Linked DNA regions of Arabidopsis thaliana. The protein of the gene in region 1 binds, or shares a complex with, the protein of each later gene. Each region holds a gene or a part of one and is shown in the gene's direction. Other genes may lie near its edges.

The links.
Region 2: CPSF160 (region 1) and CPSF100 share a complex: the UniProt entries of both Arabidopsis thaliana proteins name them as parts of the CPSF complex.
Region 3: CPSF160 (region 1) and CPSF73-II share a complex: the UniProt entries of both Arabidopsis thaliana proteins name them as parts of the CPSF complex.

Annotation. Positions count from the first base shown.
Region 1 is NC_003076.8:20,977,980-20,983,096, forward strand, and holds the start of CPSF160 (cleavage and polyadenylation specificity factor 160), read left to right. Parts: upstream 1-2,025; 5' UTR 2,026-2,270; coding exon 2,271-2,602; intron 2,603-2,691; coding exon 2,692-2,838; intron 2,839-3,170; coding exon 3,171-3,324; intron 3,325-3,431; coding exon 3,432-3,567; intron 3,568-3,908; coding exon 3,909-4,054; intron 4,055-4,378; coding exon 4,379-4,474; intron 4,475-4,590; coding exon 4,591-4,643; intron 4,644-4,821; coding exon 4,822-4,953; intron 4,954-5,061; coding exon 5,062-5,113; intron 5,114-5,117. Other genes in the region: AT5G51650 (uncharacterized protein), read right to left, coding at 224-421, 464-844, 1,229-1,270. UniProt on the Arabidopsis thaliana protein: CPSF plays a key role in pre-mRNA 3'-end formation, recognizing the AAUAAA signal sequence and interacting with poly(A)polymerase and other factors to bring about cleavage and poly(A) addition.
Region 2 is NC_003076.8:8,050,558-8,058,458, forward strand, and holds the start of CPSF100 (cleavage and polyadenylation specificity factor 100), read left to right. Parts: upstream 1-1,881; 5' UTR 1,882-1,992; coding exon 1,993-2,141; intron 2,142-2,219; coding exon 2,220-2,388; intron 2,389-2,466; coding exon 2,467-2,563; intron 2,564-2,765; coding exon 2,766-2,892; intron 2,893-2,993; coding exon 2,994-3,112; intron 3,113-3,215; coding exon 3,216-3,310; intron 3,311-3,393; coding exon 3,394-3,545; intron 3,546-3,630; coding exon 3,631-3,688; intron 3,689-3,834; coding exon 3,835-3,942; intron 3,943-4,822; coding exon 4,823-5,066; intron 5,067-5,433; coding exon 5,434-5,618; intron 5,619-5,994; coding exon 5,995-6,087; intron 6,088-6,636; coding exon 6,637-6,735; intron 6,736-6,822; coding exon 6,823-6,954; intron 6,955-7,043; coding exon 7,044-7,088; intron 7,089-7,170; coding exon 7,171-7,416; intron 7,417-7,488; coding exon 7,489-7,590; 3' UTR 7,591-7,901. UniProt on the Arabidopsis thaliana protein: CPSF plays a key role in pre-mRNA 3'-end formation, recognizing the AAUAAA signal sequence and interacting with poly(A)polymerase and other factors to bring about cleavage and poly(A) addition. Required for antisense-RNA-mediated gene silencing.
Region 3 is NC_003071.7:318,522-324,584, forward strand, and holds CPSF73-II (cleavage and polyadenylation specificity factor 73 kDa subunit-II), read left to right. Parts: upstream 1-1,911; 5' UTR 1,912-2,075; coding exon 2,076-2,100; intron 2,101-2,198; coding exon 2,199-2,376; exon of another isoform or gene 2,377-2,462; coding exon 2,463-2,535; intron 2,536-2,635; coding exon 2,636-2,753; intron 2,754-2,849; coding exon 2,850-2,923; intron 2,924-3,019; coding exon 3,020-3,156; intron 3,157-3,251; coding exon 3,252-3,315; intron 3,316-3,483; coding exon 3,484-3,549; intron 3,550-3,639; coding exon 3,640-3,709; intron 3,710-3,851; coding exon 3,852-3,956; intron 3,957-4,159; coding exon 4,160-4,301; intron 4,302-4,412; coding exon 4,413-4,509; intron 4,510-4,631; coding exon 4,632-5,324; 3' UTR 5,325-5,442; downstream 5,443-6,063. Other genes in the region: AT2G01720 (Ribophorin I), read right to left, coding at 90-721, 1,010-1,054, 1,391-1,495; RIE1 (RING-finger protein for embryogenesi), read left to right, coding at 5,978-6,063. UniProt on the Arabidopsis thaliana protein: Component of the cleavage and polyadenylation specificity factor (CPSF) complex that play a key role in pre-mRNA 3'-end formation, recognizing the AAUAAA signal sequence and interacting with poly(A) polymerase and other factors to bring about cleavage and poly(A) addition.

The DNA of each region.
Region 1 (5,117 bases):
CAATTTAGGAGTTTTTTCTTTTTTCTTTTTTGAAGTTTTTTATTGATTTGGTCATTTTGCATGATATTATAATTATTACGGTTATATTTCATAATTAGTTTAATCGTGTATGTCCAACTTTTTTAATTGAACTAGATTATTAGTTAAACTAAACCGAACTACATTTGGTTAGACTATTAGATTTTTATTATATCAAACTTAACTTGAAAATAAATCAAAATCCTCACTCTCGATTAACAATAAACGTTTTCCCTTTCTTCCCCTTCTTGCGCTTGTTCTTTTCAAGCTTCTTCTCCTTCATCAACTTTTCAATAAACTCATCGTTCTTTTTCTCAAACTCTCTCAGAAGTTTCTTAAGTTGCTGCTTGTCGTTTGCCAGTTTCCTTAAATCTGCAGTAGTTAGTTTGATTTTACTTCCAAACTTGATTCACAGAGAAATAAGCTTCCTTATGTCATTCTCCACGTCATCCTCCTCCTCCTCTTTCTTCTTGTCCTTCTTCTTCTCCTTGAGATCCCAGATAATGCCAACTTCTTCTTCAAGGATTTTTGTATCAAAGTAGTCATTTTCGTTACCAGGTGCAGAAACAGTCCACTTGGAGTAGTTGATAAGGTCACGTTCAAGGTTAAAGTGATGAATGGCATATGTGTATGCAACAGACACAGATCCATCCTTTTCCCATGAGACATGAGCCTCTTCTTTCTCCTTCTCCACAAGAACCTTTTCAACTCCCTCTTCTTTCCCTTGAGCTTCAAGTCCCTCTTTCCTCTCCTGAACCACACGTTGAACTCCTTTGGCCACTAAAGGATGCCAAAAATCCTCGAAAAGGAATCGAGGCTTTGGAGCCTAAGAGAGTATCTCTTTGTGAATAGTTTTAACAAGCACAGTGTAAAAATTTTCTTCCTTGACATTTTTTCTTCTGGTAATGAGAAATAAGATAAAAATTTGGAGAAAAAGAGGATGAAGCAGAAGAAGAAGTATGTAAAAAGAGTAGTTATAGGTGGTTAAACTTAAAGCTATCATTGTTGTCGTCTTGTATGGGGGAGGAACACTCAAAATCGTTTCACAGAGACTTGCAGGAGGTTTCTTATTTTATGAGGACAAGAGGTGAGAAGTAGAGGAAGCCCAAAGTTGGTTATTTTCCTTTTCAAGATTTTTCAACAATTAATAAGAAATATTATATGAACGTATCTTTAAATCAATTAATTATTAGCATTTGTTTTCATAAACCTTATAAGGCATCCCCTTGTTCTCCAAAACAATTACTGTCATCCTCTTTCTAAGTGAAAATTATATTTTTTTTTATCGTCTCTAAGTTGTTTAAGGGGTTAAAATACTAATTACAAAAACACAATCTAAAACATAAATAATAAATACGTTTATCTCTTACATATTTTTGCTGAGATTTTTTTATTAGAAGTATAAAGATTTTTGGGGAAATTTGATACTAAGGATCTTTTTTAGAACTAAAAAGGAAAACAAAAATATTTTACAAAATGATATATTTCGATATATAAAGTTTTAATGCAGTAATGAAACTCAAAATGATTGATAACACTTTCTAATACTTTTATGTTGCAAAAACAAAATCATGGTGCAAAATCCACTACTTTTATGTTGTAGTATATTTCTAGAAGAAATTTGGTTTCATGGTATATATTGGGTATTAAATAAAGATTGGACTATCTTCCCTTTGGCTTTGGTGTGTCATAGATAGTGATAAGAAATACCTCTTTTTTTGGGCATTATTTGTTGACAAACGATATAGAAAATTATAAACAAAATAAAGATCATTGGAAAAACATCATTTGACCAAAGATGTGTATATGTGTCCCAATCAGAAAGTTCATAACAAGTTCCTCTCTTCTCTTCTCAATTCTTATGCATCCACATCATCATTGATTTAATGCTTTTAAAAACAGAACATTACATTTATTTTTTTAAAAATGTATTACTTTTTGGACAATACAAGTTTGATACATATAACGGATTTCGCAAAATATTTCATGTTCTTTTTGCAAACAAATAATCCCCAAAAAAAACTAAAGGAAAAGAAATTCGTAAAGACCAAACTCGTAATAAAGAGTATATACTGTTTCCCCTTAAAAAAAAAAACCAACCTAAAATTAAAACCCGTGGGTTTAAGGATTTGATCTTTTAATGTTCACAAAATCGAGACCCTAAATTGCTCTCACACTCACTTCCCAATCTTCTTAGTTCAATTTCAATTTTTAGAATTAGAATCTCTGAATCCCAGATTCCGGTAGAGAAGATGAGTTTCGCGGCCTATAAGATGATGCATTGGCCTACCGGCGTCGAGAACTGTGCTTCCGGCTATATCACCCACTCTCTCTCCGATTCAACGCTACAGATTCCGATTGTTTCCGTTCATGATGATATTGAAGCTGAGTGGCCTAATCCTAAACGAGGTATTGGTCCTTTGCCCAACGTCGTTATAACCGCCGCAAATATCCTTGAGGTGTACATCGTTAGGGCTCAAGAGGAAGGGAATACTCAGGAGCTGAGGAATCCGAAGCTTGCTAAGCGTGGTGGAGTTATGGATGGTGTCTATGGTGTTTCTCTCGAGCTCGTGTGCCATTATAGGTACGTGTTTGTTGACAATTACCTCCTAAATTACTCCAATTTTGGTACTTTGACTTTGAAGTGACGATGTGATTGGTATTGGATTGTAGGTTGCACGGTAATGTTGAGTCAATTGCGGTTCTTCCTATGGGAGGTGGTAATTCTTCTAAGGGAAGAGATTCGATTATATTGACATTTCGCGACGCCAAAATTTCAGTTCTTGAGTTTGATGATTCAATTCACAGCCTTAGGATGACGTAAGAGTGTTTTGCTTTTGTTGGTTTTGGTAAATAAATAAATGAATTCAGCTTTAGTTTCAGCTCTGTCTCCTCTCAATTGTTTCTTTTGACCTATATACGAGATGTTCTGTGTCCAACTATTGTTTTAACTGTTTTATACTTCTCAAAGTTTTGGTCTTTACTTACGCATTGTTATTGTTTCTAGCGATGCAAGTTACGTAGTATTGGATCATATACTGAAGCGTTCTATTGTCTATGTCTGATTGTTTCTTCTAGTTATCTAATTTATGTACCATTGACTCCTATACATGACTTCAACAAATAATAATGGATATGTGGTTCCTTTTCAGTTCGATGCATTGTTTTGAGGGTCCAGATTGGCTTCATCTGAAAAGAGGAAGAGAGTCTTTTCCAAGAGGCCCTTTGGTAAAAGTGGATCCTCAAGGCAGATGTGGCGGCGTTCTTGTTTATGGTTTGCAGATGATCATACTCAAGACTTCCCAGGTTTTTGTTTTGGCATTATTAATCAACTTCATCTTAACTGTCGCTTTATCTGCTACAAATTTCCAACCTTCATTCTTTTCTTTTATGAACTTTATTTTGGGTTTTAGGTTGGTTCTGGACTAGTTGGAGATGATGATGCGTTCAGTTCTGGAGGGACAGTTTCTGCTCGAGTTGAATCATCTTACATAATTAACTTGCGTGATCTGGAAATGAAACACGTCAAAGATTTTGTTTTTCTACATGGTAGGTTTAGCAAGCAAGGTTTCTTCATAAACTTATCTCTGAATCAGTAGTTAATCATAAATATATTATGATGATTGTTTCTTAGCTGCTCAACTTGCATCGAATCTTGTGTCCTTGAATGGATCTAGCTTACTAAGTTGTTGTTTGTAGATTCAATACGACAACTGATGTATTCTGGTCATGATTACAGTTTGAAACAAGAGGAAATGTATTGTTTCTTTGATTTTTCAATAACTAGCTGTCTGAAATTTTAGATATTCTAGTTTTCCCAGTAGGCATAAAGAATAAACTAAGTGGTGCTTCTTTTGATTATGTGTTTTTGCATCCTGTGTCTTCTTCAGGTTATATTGAGCCTGTAATTGTCATCCTTCAGGAAGAAGAGCATACTTGGGCTGGGCGAGTTTCATGGAAGCACCATACTTGCGTGCTTTCTGCCCTTAGTATCAATTCGACATTAAAACAACACCCAGTCATCTGGTCAGCTATTGTATGTTCGTATTTTCCTCTTTGTATCTTATAATAGATCTCTTCCCAAGAAATTAAATATTTGAGTTGCACTATTAACTATATTGTAAGCTAAGGGTAGAAATTGAAGTCATCTAAAAGGTTATTGAATATCCACTGTTGTTACATGACTAGACTTTCCAATCAGCTATGACGATGCTCTATTTTTTGTTTAGAATGCTCAAAGAGTTGATCTTTCTTTAGGAAAAATTTCCTAAAATAACAAGCTATTTCATGACTGAAATAGTTACTTCGGCAAACGTTAGTCCCTGATCATACTTATTCCCATTCTTTTGGTATTTTCCAGAATCTGCCCCATGATGCCTACAAACTACTTGCAGTACCATCTCCGATCGGAGGTGTTCTTGTGTTGTGTGCAAATACAATCCATTATCATAGTCAGGTAGTTTTATATTACTTAGCTTTTGGTTGTTTCTTGTTTAAAATTCAACAATTCCAGCCACTCCACCTCAAAGTTCTACAGTTACTCACACATCTGGATACCATATATATTTGTAGTCAGCCTCCTGTGCTCTGGCACTGAACAATTATGCCTCCTCAGCTGATAGCAGGTACAGTTTTCTCGCACCTCCCCACTCTTCAAAACCTGCTTCATGCTTATGGATATAATCTTGTTACCTCAGTCTTAGTTTAGAATCCTAAAGCTTAGAATCAACTTTCAACATTTGTAAAACTCTGTTTATACTGTTAACCACATTTCTATCTCTGTGTGCGTCTGATTTCTTTCAGTCAAGAACTGCCTGCATCAAATTTCAGTGTGGAGCTTGATGCTGCCCATGGAACCTGGATATCGAACGATGTGGCCCTATTGTCGACAAAATCTGGGGAATTGTTGCTGCTGACTCTTATATATGATGGGCGGTAGTATTTTGATCTTCTTTAAAAAAAAATCTTCTGACGCTTGTAAAGCTGGCTGCAACTTATTTTGTTTAAAATATGTGAAACTGACTGCTACTTTCTTTTTTGAAGTGCTGTACAGAGACTTGATCTTTCCAAATCAAAAGCCTCTGTGCTTGCTTCGGTTA
Region 2 (7,901 bases), about 13 Mb from region 1:
AGATGAAATTTTTCTGTTGAGCTAAAAGATTCATTTCCCTCTATACATTCAGATTTCTATTTTCGTTTAGTAAATATTTCCTTGTAATTCTACTGTGGTCCACCATTGTAAATTCATTGTTTATGTTTTTGTAAGAATTTTCAATCTGTAAATGTATTGAAATCCAATTTCTGTATTGGTATTAAAAACAAATTTCAGTGACAGCCACAGGCTCACAAAAACAGTTCTACACTACTACTTATCAGTTTCACACGAGAGCTAAGTTTAGTTATGTGCAGTAGACAGCATAGGGCGTAGATAAGGCCAAAAAACAAAAAACAAATGATTAAAAAAAAGTTTTTTTTTTTGCAAGAATAACCATATTTTGATACTTTCTTTTTATTTATTTATAAAAAATGTATTGTATTTTTAGATATTTTTCTAAGTATGGAGATGGGTCTTGATGGGTGGGTCACCAGCTGATGAATTAGAATCGAAAATCACATTCTTAGGTGTCTTTTGGTTTAGGTTCACCGAATCTTCTTAATCTATCTTTAAAGAACCAAAAAAAAACACACACAAACAATTGTCTTCAATCTCTCTGGTCATTTTTCTTATGAAAACAAGTATAATAATTACATTTATTTACACTCTTTAACTAATCAACCTATTATTACCTAACTACAACTTTCATATTCATATCAAGAAAGAAAGGTTTGATAGTTAGTTATGGTTGTTATCCTTAGCCATTATGATTTTGGTTTGGTCCTCACGGGTCCTCCTTCACCAAATGCATATGTTTTTTTTTTTTTTTTTTTTTTTTTTGTGTTGCCTTTGAAGTGAAGCTATCACAATTTTGAATCAAAATGTTGTTTGGCTTTCTAACGTGCATCAATAAAATCAGGAAGAACTTATCATTCGTCACAATCAACATACCAGCTACTTGTTTCTTATTGTCCATCATATTCCTAACAAATGATATATATAGTTCATCTCGAACTATTGAATTATTAAGTATTACGCAACACACCTATGTCAAATGATCTGAACTTCGATACTATATCAGAATTCAAATACGTTTAATTCAAAATTAACTGAAAGTGAATTCATTCATTAATATCTCTTATTTCATAGAAGAGATTTCCAACATTTTTTTACCATTGTAGTGATCTTTTAGTTGCAACATTTACTAATTAGTGATAAGAGAGCACACATGTGGGAGAATTAGGCACGTGTGAAGAGCTAAAGAGAAGCATGAGAAGAATAAAAGAGTATAAATAGGGATATTAGAGAGGAATTATAGAGATTATCCTGCGTGATCATTGATGTTGTGAGGAGAATTAGGGCTTGTGTGCTATGTTCTTGATGATAAGAGATGAGCATTGTAACTCCGATCTTATCAATATAGGGTTTTGATTCATTGTAATTGGGATTTACGGATAATAAATACAAAGGTTTATGCGTAAGTTCTTATCAACTTGTAATGGTCTTCTGGTTGCACCATATGCTCATAGATCTAGTGTATTTGGTACAACTGCTTAAAAGTTTTTGATTTACTCTAGTATATTTAACGGAGATTTGCCTATTTTTCCTTAAGGGTGTGTTTAATGTTTTCATGTTGAAACAATGAATGAAGTTTCATGTAATTTTAAATGAATGAGCAATCATAATGAAACCGATCTACTTTGAAGTTTGAACATACAATAGAATTGACTCATATGCTTATAATGGACTCACCATCTATGTTTCACTGCTACCACAACATTTTTTGGTAAAAGATTCACTAATCCCTCTTTGTGTTGGTTAAAAAATCAAGGTAAAGAGAGAAAAAATTTCAAAGATTATATGTACCAAATGAACAATTTGAAAAGAAAAGGGTTATTTTAGAAGTAAAAGGAAATATATGGACCGGGGAGGTTATTATTACAGAATTAAAAAACCCTCTTTCACGGTGGCTTCTTCTTCTTTAGTTCATCGGAGAAATTTTAGGGTTTATATCGGCGAACGGAAAAGATGGGTACTTCGGTGCAAGTGACTCCTCTCTGCGGAGTTTACAACGAGAATCCTCTCTCCTACTTAGTCTCCATTGATGGTTTCAACTTCCTCATCGACTGTGGTTGGAACGATCTCTTCGACACATCGCTCCTCGAACCTCTCTCCAGGTTTCTCTATCCTTATTATCTACATTTCCAGAATTCACCAATCTAATTTGTTTTGAATTCGATTCTTCTGGTTTACAGGGTTGCTTCTACTATAGATGCAGTTTTGCTTTCTCATCCAGATACACTTCACATTGGTGCTCTTCCTTATGCTATGAAGCAGCTTGGACTCTCCGCTCCTGTTTATGCTACTGAGCCTGTTCATAGATTAGGTCTCCTTACAATGTATGATCAGTTTTTGTCCAGGAAGGTGAGATTTTGTTAACTACTGGAGTGGTTATTTTTGCGCAATTGTCTGCATTGTAACACGATGATCTTACTGTTGCAGCAAGTATCCGACTTTGATCTGTTTACACTGGATGACATAGATTCTGCTTTCCAGAATGTGATCAGATTGACTTACTCTCAAAATTACCATCTTTCTGGTATGTGGTTTTAGTGATTTCTAGGCTCTATAGCAAACTAGAAACAATTGACACTTATCTCAAGCAAGTTTGATCTGCATTATCTATGATCTCATATCGGGAAGGAGTTCTTTGACACACATTGAGTATTTGGTTGTTGAAACCTAAGTTATGACTTCAAAGATTGTTAGGATGTCTCAAGGTTTTATCGTTGCCCTATCAGGAAAGGGAGAGGGTATTGTAATTGCTCCTCATGTTGCTGGACACATGCTGGGAGGTAGCATCTGGAGGATAACAAAGGATGGGGAGGATGTTATATATGCTGTTGACTACAATCATCGGAAAGAAAGGTACATATGTTCAGATTTTATCTTATTTGAAGTTCGAGTAATGTTCATAACAGTAAGTAAAGATGTGGACTCGTGATACTGAATTGTATATCTTAATTCAGGCATTTGAATGGAACTGTTTTACAGTCTTTTGTTCGGCCTGCTGTTCTGATAACCGATGCATATCATGCTCTTTATACCAATCAAACCGCAAGACAGCAAAGGGACAAAGAATTTCTAGGTTAGCTTGTAGCCCAATATGTGTTGTGTATCTTCTATAGTATTTAAAACAGCCCGCTTCTAACTGCCAGAAACATGTGTGCATGTCCCCATTTATCATTCAGATACCATTTCAAAACATCTTGAAGTTGGAGGAAATGTTCTATTGCCAGTAGACACTGCGGGTCGTGTCCTGGAACTTCTCTTGATACTTGAACAGGTAATAGAACCGCTTTGAATGTATCATGCTCTTAGTTAATGTTCAGCTGTTTTTTAAAGACTGGATATTGATCAAACCTGCAGCATTGGTCACAAAGAGGTTTCAGCTTTCCCATTTATTTTCTCACGTACGTGTCATCTAGCACAATTGACTATGTTAAGAGTTTCCTCGAGTGGATGAGTGACTCCATTTCAAAGTCCTTTGAGACTTCACGTGATAATGCCTTTCTATTGAGGTAGATTTTCTTATAAGAATGCCTTATTTGTGCCGTCGTTTGTTTAGAATACAGAAGACATCACATGAAATTTAAACACATGCAGGCATGTCACTCTGTTGATAAACAAGACTGATCTGGATAATGCTCCACCTGGTCCAAAGGTTGTTTATAAAATTATAAGTAACTCATTAGTGTTTGTTAGTACATAGAACGTGGTGGATTTATTATTATTTCCTGTCTTTTCAGCTGATAATAGAACTAGATTTTTTCCTATTATATGTTGTAGTGACTAAATCTCATAATATAGGTTGTTCTTGCTTCCATGGCTAGTCTCGAAGCCGGTTTTGCTCGAGAGATATTCGTGGAGTGGGCAAATGATCCCAGAAATTTAGTCCTCTTTACTGAAACAGGCCAGGTATGTTTTTAGAACCCACATACGTTGAGGAACGAAAATTTATTAGCATTGCTATAAAGACCTGATGGTAGATTCTTTTCCTAGTGCTGATCAGCTAGTTAAGTGGATATATGAGAATCTTTTTTGTCTTCTGATCTGAATAAGAGTTCCCCCATTTATGTGTGGATATTTACCCCCAATATGTACACAATAGGCAGAGATTGAGTACCTTAAAGCAGCATTATAATTACCACCAAAGCCTGGCTTGCTCCTTTAGGATAATCTCCAGAGCTTTCAGTCTTGAATTTATCAATTAGTTACATCCAGTACAAAATAAAGGGTCTTAGTAGACTATCATATTAATGGAATTGACACCACTATGCACAAACTGTCTAATTGGCCATATCATTCATCTCAAATGAACATAATTTTTTTTTGTAACCGCGTACTTTGTTTATTTTTCTTCTAGCGAGACATCATCCTGTTCCCTGAAATATCATACTTTTAATTAAAATTCAATCTAGACAAAAATAAATTTATTCAAATAAATAGTTTGGAAACAAATGGAAGCTTTGGTTAATTATTCACGCTTTTCTCAGTTCTGTGTGACTATGCTTTCTTGTCCATGTCAATCTATCCAGAAAACAGAGCATTACGGAATTATTAAGTTTGAAATACCAGTAACACCGTAAATCCAAGTGAAATTATCGAAGTTCTTCATCCAATTTGTTACCTTTGCCATTGGTCGTGTTCCTTAGTTGCGATGGCGATTATACTTTCCATGTGTCCATTCATAGTTCACGTGATCTAAGATTTGCAAGATGTTTCGGTTTGTAGTCAATCACATAAAACTAAACTGCTGTTAGTTTGATTTTTAATTGTCATTTGCTTCTATTTGCAGTTTGGCACTTTAGCTCGTATGCTTCAGTCAGCCCCACCTCCAAAATTTGTTAAAGTCACCATGTCTAAGAGGGTTCCTTTGGCTGGGGAAGAGTTAATTGCATATGAGGAAGAGCAAAACAGACTGAAAAGGGAAGAAGCTTTGCGAGCTAGCCTCGTTAAAGAGGAGGAAACAAAAGCTTCCCATGGATCCGATGATAATTCAAGTGAACCTATGATCATAGATACCAAGACTACTCACGATGGTAAATTTTTTCTTATTTTATATAACATTTTATTACCCTTGAATATTCTGTGGCCTGTAACTTCTTATTTTTCATGTAAACTTTAACTTAATTGAAGTATCTAGTACTGAAAATGGCTATGCACATAGTACCCTCTGTAATGTACTGGTTAGTTGGTTTTAGGAGGCATTTATGTGGTTATCTTGAGTGACCTAGAAGCTACATTTAGAAGTCTCACAATACATTTCTGGGTAATTTGTTTAGTTTTTCACAGTCCCACAATATGTGTCTGTTTCAATTAGACCTCTGGCTACCGTTGTTGATTGCTCTTCTTTCCACTACATAGTGGTCTGCAACTGACCTTTTACATTTCTGACTACTCTTGCAGTTATTGGTTCTCACGGGCCTGCATATAAAGATATATTGATTGATGGATTTGTTCCCCCATCCAGCAGCGTAGCTCCAATGTTCCCATATTATGATAACACATCTGAATGGGACGACTTTGGGGAGATTATTAATCCAGATGACTATGTGATCAAGGATGAAGACATGGACCGAGGAGCAATGCATGTACGTTCCTTGAATTCTGGTCTTGGTCTTGGTCTTTCTTAGCTCTTGTTATATTTGCAAATTAGACCTCTTAATTTCCATGATGTTTGCATAGTGGTGGTTCCTTTTACGATTTTTGTATCAAGAAGAACAAAGATGTAAGAAATCTGCATGATATGCTCTGAGGATTTGGGATACAGATAGGAAATCTTTTGCCATAAAGTTGCTTAGGCTCTTGATTTGGTATGAGTGCAGTTCTTCAAATGAGTGCACTGGTTCTACAGTTCCATCTTTATATTTTCCTTAACAACTGATTGCTTACTAGTAAAGGTTTAGGGTCATTCTATGTAGAGTCTTGTGTTGCTTATTAAATTTGTGATATAATTTTCCATTTCAGAACGGAGGTGATGTGGACGGAAGGCTTGATGAGGCAACTGCTAGTCTCATGCTTGATACAAGACCTTCGAAAGTCATGTCCAATGAGCTCATTGTAAGTAGACTCTAATTATATCCAAAGAACAATACATTGATAGAGATTTTGTCTCAGTTAATGTCCTCATTTGTTCTCCCTTTCTAGAATCTCTGATTATTGTTATAGACTGCTTATCAATGATAGGCACAAGGAGTAGTCTTCTCACTTAGAAATAGAGAGATAGGAATTCTCATTGACATGGCGTTGTGCCTGTCAAATTTATCTTCATCTGATGATATGCATACAAGAAATTTATTAATTGATCTTCTAATTAGTTATCACGGGAGACCTTGCTAATCAGATCTTTAGCACGATAATTCAACTTACAGATATTTTGTTGTTTGGATTAATCGGTCTAATTTTCTTCTTGTTATTGAACAACTTTTGTGTTCTTACTTTTACCCACTTGATCTTATGTCATGTAGAAGTTTCAGAAGGTTATTCTCAGAACGTAGGCCTTGCCTGCTAAACAAAACAATATGGCTCTTTAGTCTTCTTCTGTCTATACCTAACTGCTGTCTAATTTCCCTGATAAATGATTTAGTTTGTTCTTATGCTTTTGCACAGGTGACTGTTAGTTGTTCACTTGTTAAAATGGACTATGAAGGTCGGTCAGATGGCCGCTCAATCAAGTCAATGATTGCGCATGTTTCTCCTTTAAAACTTGTACGTTTCTCTCTCGTCTTATATATATATAGTGTTAAGCACTGAACTGGAAACTTGCGGTGATCTAATACTATATATCATGTGAAGGTTTTGGTGCACGCGATAGCTGAGGCTACAGAGCATTTGAAGCAACACTGCTTGAACAACATCTGTCCACACGTGTATGCTCCTCAAATAGAGGAAACGGTCGATGTGACTTCTGATTTATGTGCTTACAAGGTAGAAATTACTTAGAATTAGGAAGATCCTTTTTAACTCATGGGTTTTGAGTTGTGTGATTGAATTAACCCTGTATGGTGATACATCAGGTCCAACTTTCTGAAAAGCTGATGAGCAATGTGATCTTCAAGAAGGTACCTTTTATTTCCGTGACTATTTTTTTCTTCTTTTCCGATTTGCAACCAATGTCTCTGAAGAATGATGAAATAATATCAGCTGGGAGATTCAGAAGTAGCTTGGGTGGATTCCGAAGTAGGGAAGACAGAGAGGGACATGAGGTCTCTACTACCGATGCCAGGTGCTGCTTCGCCACACAAACCTGTTCTAGTAGGTGATCTGAAAATCGCAGACTTCAAGCAGTTTCTGTCGAGCAAGGGTGTTCAGGTAGAATTTGCAGGTGGAGGAGCTTTACGTTGTGGTGAATATGTCACTCTACGAAAGGTTGGACCGACGGGTCAAAAGGTAATTCAAAGCAAATACTGCATTTCTTACAACAAATCAGAGAATGACTTATATATGTTGGGGATTGTTCAGGGAGGAGCATCGGGTCCACAGCAAATTCTGATAGAAGGACCGTTGTGTGAAGACTATTACAAAATCAGGGATTATCTCTATTCTCAGTTCTACCTCCTCTGAGCATGATATAGAAAAAAAATGAAGCTTCTTCTCATTTTCTCAACATTTTTCAACCACTCAACATGTAATCTCGTATAGTTTATTGCCTTGCTTATAACCCTCAAATCTTATAGATTAATGTGTTAAAAATGGCAATAGCTTTTTGTAACTTTTTTGTACTTGTCATCTTAGTAGAAGCTTAAGTTGTCATTGGATATATTCCACTCCTATTTCGGTAAAGCGGTAAACTAAAACAGTAAAACGTGATAAACTCTCTTCTTTGTTCCTTGTATGTTCTCTCAAAAGTTTAAAATGAAAGCGAAAACACTTTC
Region 3 (6,063 bases), on another chromosome or scaffold:
AAATCGAAATTCTGCAACATCTAACTCCTAGAGATAAATTTTCAGATGTCACCTCATACATTATAGAAGTTATTAGTCCCATTACATACCTTGAGAAAACACCCTTATGCCTCGCTCCCCCATGAGTCAACCTATAATTTTCTGTAATCTGAAGGCTACCCCAGTGTGAAATCTCAATTTCACGCACAAGCTCCTCAACAACAGCAAATGGACTGTTATTCTCGAAGTGAATGATGACAGGTGTGTAAGAGTATGAAGCACGATTTTCATATGGTCCATATTTGATCTCTTTGCCAGCCCGGTTAGCAGGTTCAATGCTAGTGAACGACTCTACTCTAGTACTAGGAGTCTTAATAAAAGTTGTCTGTTGCTTAACATGATACGGTGACAATATCACTGCACTATCATGATAGTAAACCAATTGAGATTCTGACTGGGTTATCTCCACTGGGAAAGGTTCCAAGGAATGAGTCAATATGTAAAGCACCTCAAGTGAAACAGTTTCACCCGGACCTAAGGGGCTAATAAACGTAACACGGTAGTATCCAGTGTCATTTGGTGCATCAGGTTGTTCAGTTGGTTTTACATCTAATGGCAAATAAGTTTTCTTCTTCTTCTTGCCAGTAGTTGCCAGGGCTTGTACCATAGCCAAATTCTTGATCTGGGTAGGTGGGAAAGCAAGAAGCATTTCTGCAGCAGGATCTTTCCCAATATTTTCAACCTGAAGAAAGAAATCCAGACAAGAAAATGTCACCTCCTAATAGAAAAACTTAAAGATGATGAAGGAGAAAAGCGATAATATCAAATTAACTGTCACAACGAATCAAAGCCACTAAAGTTCCAACCTTTACAACAAGTATCACTACAATAAACTAAATTTGACTAAAAGAAAAACAGCTGCAGTTTCATATAACATATCCAAAAAAGCTTTAATTTTCCAATTCTAAGTTCCAACCTTCCAGTGTATATTCAATAGGAATAACTATTATAAACATTTGCTTATAAATACCTTGAGAGTCAAGAAGGCCTTCACGATATGTGAGCTTAAATCAATCTGTAGACAAAAACAAACACAAAGGAGAAGCATTTCAGTTTCGGGCAAGAAAATTTTGCAAACAGGTTCTATCATTAGACTTTCTAATTACTCAAATCAAACGTATAACTGATGAAAAGTCACACTATCTATCAATGTACATACATATGAAGCCTATCGATGATGATCAACCATGAAGTGACCAATCACACAGTAATTCTACAAACCGAGTATAGATCGGAGAAACAGCAAAGCCCAACGGCAACTTCATTAACTTGAATTTCCATAAATCGGAGAAACGGGATCCATTAAGGAAGTTTATGAATTGTAAGAAGAAGATAGATCGGAGAATCTTACCCTTCGCTCGGCATTTACGATCTGGAGATCCTGAGCTGAGGAAAATGCAGAAATAGATAACAATACAGCTACGAAGACGGAGAAGATCCCGATACGAGCAGCCATTTTCGTCACTGCAGTAAGAACAAAACTCAAATCAACGAAAGAGCTCAGAGATGGTGAATTGATAGGATTTGGAAGATCAGTAAAAAATTACTCACCGATGAAGACAGAAACAGCAAGAGAGATCGTGGATCGTAAATATAGATACCGACGGCGGAAGGAAGAACGTCGGCCGGCGAAGTGAGAATGATCCGGTCAACTACAAAGTCTCAGTGTCTCTCACTTCTCTCTTGATTTAGGGATTAGTTACGAGCTTTTTTCTTCCTCAGATTAAAAACGACATGAGACGTTGTCGTTTCAAACTTTTAAATTTAATGGGCCGTGAGAAGAACTATTATTGGGCTTCACACCACAAAAATATCGACGGTTGGATCAGACACGTGTAATAACTCCGAACGGTTCCGATGTCACTGAACACTTTGCCGCCATTCAAATTCGTTTGTCGACCTAACTCTGTTTCTTCTCTCGCCCCCTTCAAAATTTTCTCCGGTCACTTGAATTTGTGTTCTGATTCAACGAGTAAGATATTTTTGACCATCGACGAGTTTTGAAACTCAAATTGTTGTTTATTTCTTCAGTAACTATGGCTATCGATTGTCTCGTACTTGGTAACAGTTTTTGTTCTTCTTCTTCTTCTCTCTTTGCTTCTTCAAAGTTTCACAATTTCAATTTCTGTATAATTCTATCTTTTTTGTGTTGTATCCAGGTGCTGGACAAGAGATTGGAAAGAGCTGTGTGGTAGTGACGATTAATGGTAAAAAGATAATGTTCGATTGTGGGATGCATATGGGCTGTGATGATCACAATCGTTACCCAAATTTTTCTCTCATATCTAAATCCGGTGATTTTGACAACGCGATCTCTTGTATCATCATCACACACTTGTATTGATTCTTCAAACCCAGAATTTGTCCCTTTTTTAAAATTCACTTTTTTAGTTTTTGTGGGTTTTAATTGTGAGTGTTAATAGCCATATGGATCATGTTGGAGCGCTTCCTTACTTCACGGAAGTTTGTGGGTACAATGGTCCGATTTATATGTCGGTGAGTTATATTGTCCTCAAGGTGTTCGATGAAATGTTTGACTGACTGTTTTTTTTTTGTGAAGGTAAAGGTTGTTTACTTTGATTTGTCTCTTTTGTAGTATCCCACAAAGGCTTTGTCTCCATTAATGCTTGAGGACTACCGAAGAGTGATGGTGGATAGAAGAGGCGAGGAGGAGCTATTCACCACTACCCATATCGCAAACTGCATGAAAAAAGGTACTTGAATATTGGATTTAGTTCATTTGAGGTCTTTGTGCACGAATTCAGATGCAGTGTCTATAACTTGACTTCCTCTTGTTTTTTTATATGTAGTAATTGCAATAGATTTGAAGCAAACAATTCAGGTTGATGAAGATCTTCAAATCCGGGCTTATTATGCAGGGCATGTAAGACATTCGTTCTGGTTTTAGTGAATTTCTTTCTGTGTTTTTTATATTCAGAGTTTCTGTATTTTTTAAAGCTTATTTTGTATTGATCATAAGGTCCTTGGAGCAGTGATGGTTTATGCAAAGATGGGAGATGCAGCGATTGTGTACACTGGAGATTACAATATGACGACAGATAGACATCTAGGAGCTGCTAAAATTGACAGACTCCAGTTGGATCTTCTCATTTCAGAGTATGGAAAACAAATACAAACTTGTTCGCTGGTATTTTTCAACAAACTTAGAAAGAACAAGTTTACCTGATATAGGTTTAACTATGCCGTTTTAGGTCCACATATGCAACTACCATTCGCGGCTCAAAATATCCCCGGGAGAGAGAGTTTCTTCAAGCTGTATGTCTACTTGTAACTATTAACACATGGTTTCTAAATTTGTTCTTAAATGGTTTTTGATTATAATTACCCGCATCACCTTTGGCTTGTTTCTGATCAATATACCCCTTCAGGAAATGCTTAAGCTTTCGTTTGGTAATTGTCTGATATCTCAGAAAACTCTTCCAGGTTCATAAATGTGTTGCTGGCGGAGGGAAGGCGCTGATTCCTTCATTTGCTCTTGGAAGGGCTCAGGTCTGTCTTCTTACAGAGCTTTGAAGTCAGTTACTTAAACTTGTCTTTGCTTCTCTTATGTCTCATTGACAATTGCGTTTCCTTTTTCAGGAACTCTGCATGCTGCTTGATGATTACTGGGAACGCATGAATATAAAGGTTCCAATTTACTTCTCATCAGGTCTGTTAAATCACCACCAATCCTCATATGAAATCAATTCTGCAGATTAGTCAGCTCAACAAAGTCGTGACTCTATTTCATGAATAGTGATCTCTATCTTCTGAAAATTGCTGTCCCTGAAGATAAATTTGTACTTTTGCAGGTTTGACCATCCAAGCAAATATGTATTACAAAATGCTCATCAGCTGGACAAGCCAGAACGTTAAAGAAAAGCACAATACGCATAACCCATTTGATTTTAAGAATGGTATGTGTACTACCATTTGCAAATAACTTTAGAACGTTGAAGATGAAATTTATATCATATGGAACCGAAACTCTGATGTGCTTGAAAAATAAGAACCAAACTAGTGGTTCTAATACATCCTTTGCGTCCATTTTTTGTTCTTATCCACTACCTTAGCTGTACAACTCTGCTTGCTTTCTAACTACTACCTTCACATTCTGCAGTTAAAGATTTCGATCGATCTCTTATACATGCTCCTGGGCCATGTGTTCTCTTTGCCACACCTGGTATGCTTTGTGCTGGCTTTTCACTTGAAGTGTTCAAGCACTGGGCTCCTTCTCCCTTGAATCTTGTTGCATTACCCGGGTACTATACCTATTGTGTTTCCCCTTTATTAGCAATTCAGTTTTTTCCTAGCATAGCATCTAACACGAAATTGTATCTCTTTTCATCCATTTATGGATCCGTTTTTTACAGATACTCTGTGGCTGGGACCGTTGGGCACAAACTGATGGCTGGTAAACCCACGACGGTTGATCTCTACAATGGCACCAAGGTCGATGTCCGTTGCAAGGTTTGTTTACTCTTTCTTCTGGTTCTCACAAAATTTATGTAACCTTAACACGAAAACAGCAATGCGTCCAATTCACACGTTGAACCTAAACTAAAATGTCTTGTTGATTCTGTTGTTATCAGGTACATCAAGTGGCTTTCAGTCCTCACACAGATGCAAAAGGAATAATGGATCTCACAAAGTTCCTTTCCCCAAAGAACGTTGTACTCGTGCACGGCGAAAAACCCAGCATGATGATTCTTAAGGAAAAGATAACCTCAGAGCTTGACATCCCCTGTTTCGTCCCTGCCAATGGCGAAACAGTTTCATTCGCTTCAACCACTTATATAAAAGCAAACGCTTCTGATATGTTCCTAAAAAGCTGCTCCAACCCGAATTTCAAATTCTCAAACTCTACTCAGCTCCGTGTTACAGACCATAGAACCGCAGACGGGGTTTTGGTAATAGAGAAGAGCAAAAAGGCAAAGATAGTTCACCAAGATGAAATCTCTGAGGTGTTACATGAGAAAAACCATGTGGTCTCTTTAGCTCATTGTTGTCCAGTGAAAGTTAAAGGAGAATCAGAAGATGATGATGTTGATCTAATCAAACAATTGTCTGCAAAGATCTTGAAGACAGTGTCTGGTGCTCAGATCCATGAATCTGAAAACTGTTTGCAGGTTGCATCTTTCAAGGGCTCTTTGTGTCTAAAAGACAAGTGTATGCATCGAAGCAGTAGTAGTAGTAGTGAAGCTGTGTTCTTGTGTTGCAACTGGTCTATCGCAGATTTAGAGCTTGGCTGGGAAATCATCAATGCTATCAAACTAAATCACTGATTCTTGTAACACTGAGAAGTGTTTTCAGTTTTTGTCGTTTTTCTGTCGGCATATGTAAAAGTTTTGATCCTAGTAAATTAAATTAACCCAGTAGTAACTAAACTTACCAACTTTAGCGCCAATTTCTATCTAACAAAGTAACACCCGTATTAAAAACCGGAACCAATTACCCGAAACTGAATCTGAATCCGAAAATTTACTTGTGTCCTAAATTCTTCTACCCTAAAAACCAAATCTGAAGTCGAACCCAAAAATACATGAATATTTTAATCAAAAATTTAAATTTTATTCGAAATCCGAAAAATTTGCATATTTACCCGCAAAATCAAGTATGGTTCTAAAAAAGGCCTAAAATCTATACACGAACCGATATTTTAGATTTACCCTATAGAATCCTAAACTTCTCTACCCGAAAAACCGTATTCGATCGAATTTTACCCGAATCCGACCCGTTTATCCGAATGGCCACTCCTAACCGGATCCTTTAAGGTTAAAGACGTACGACTTATTGTGATAATGATAATTAACTTATAAGACTGTGTCTAATCTTCAATTAATGTTAATTAACTAAAACCATTTTTTAAAACTGTCCGCCATGGCTTAGCGTTTTCTAGAGCAGAGAGAAAGAAGAATCTCAATTCTCTTCGTTACTAATGTCATCGTATTCTTCAGATTCCACGGCGGCGCGTGATCAACATGCGCCTCTACTCCGTCCACGACACGACGGCTCTTTTTCTTC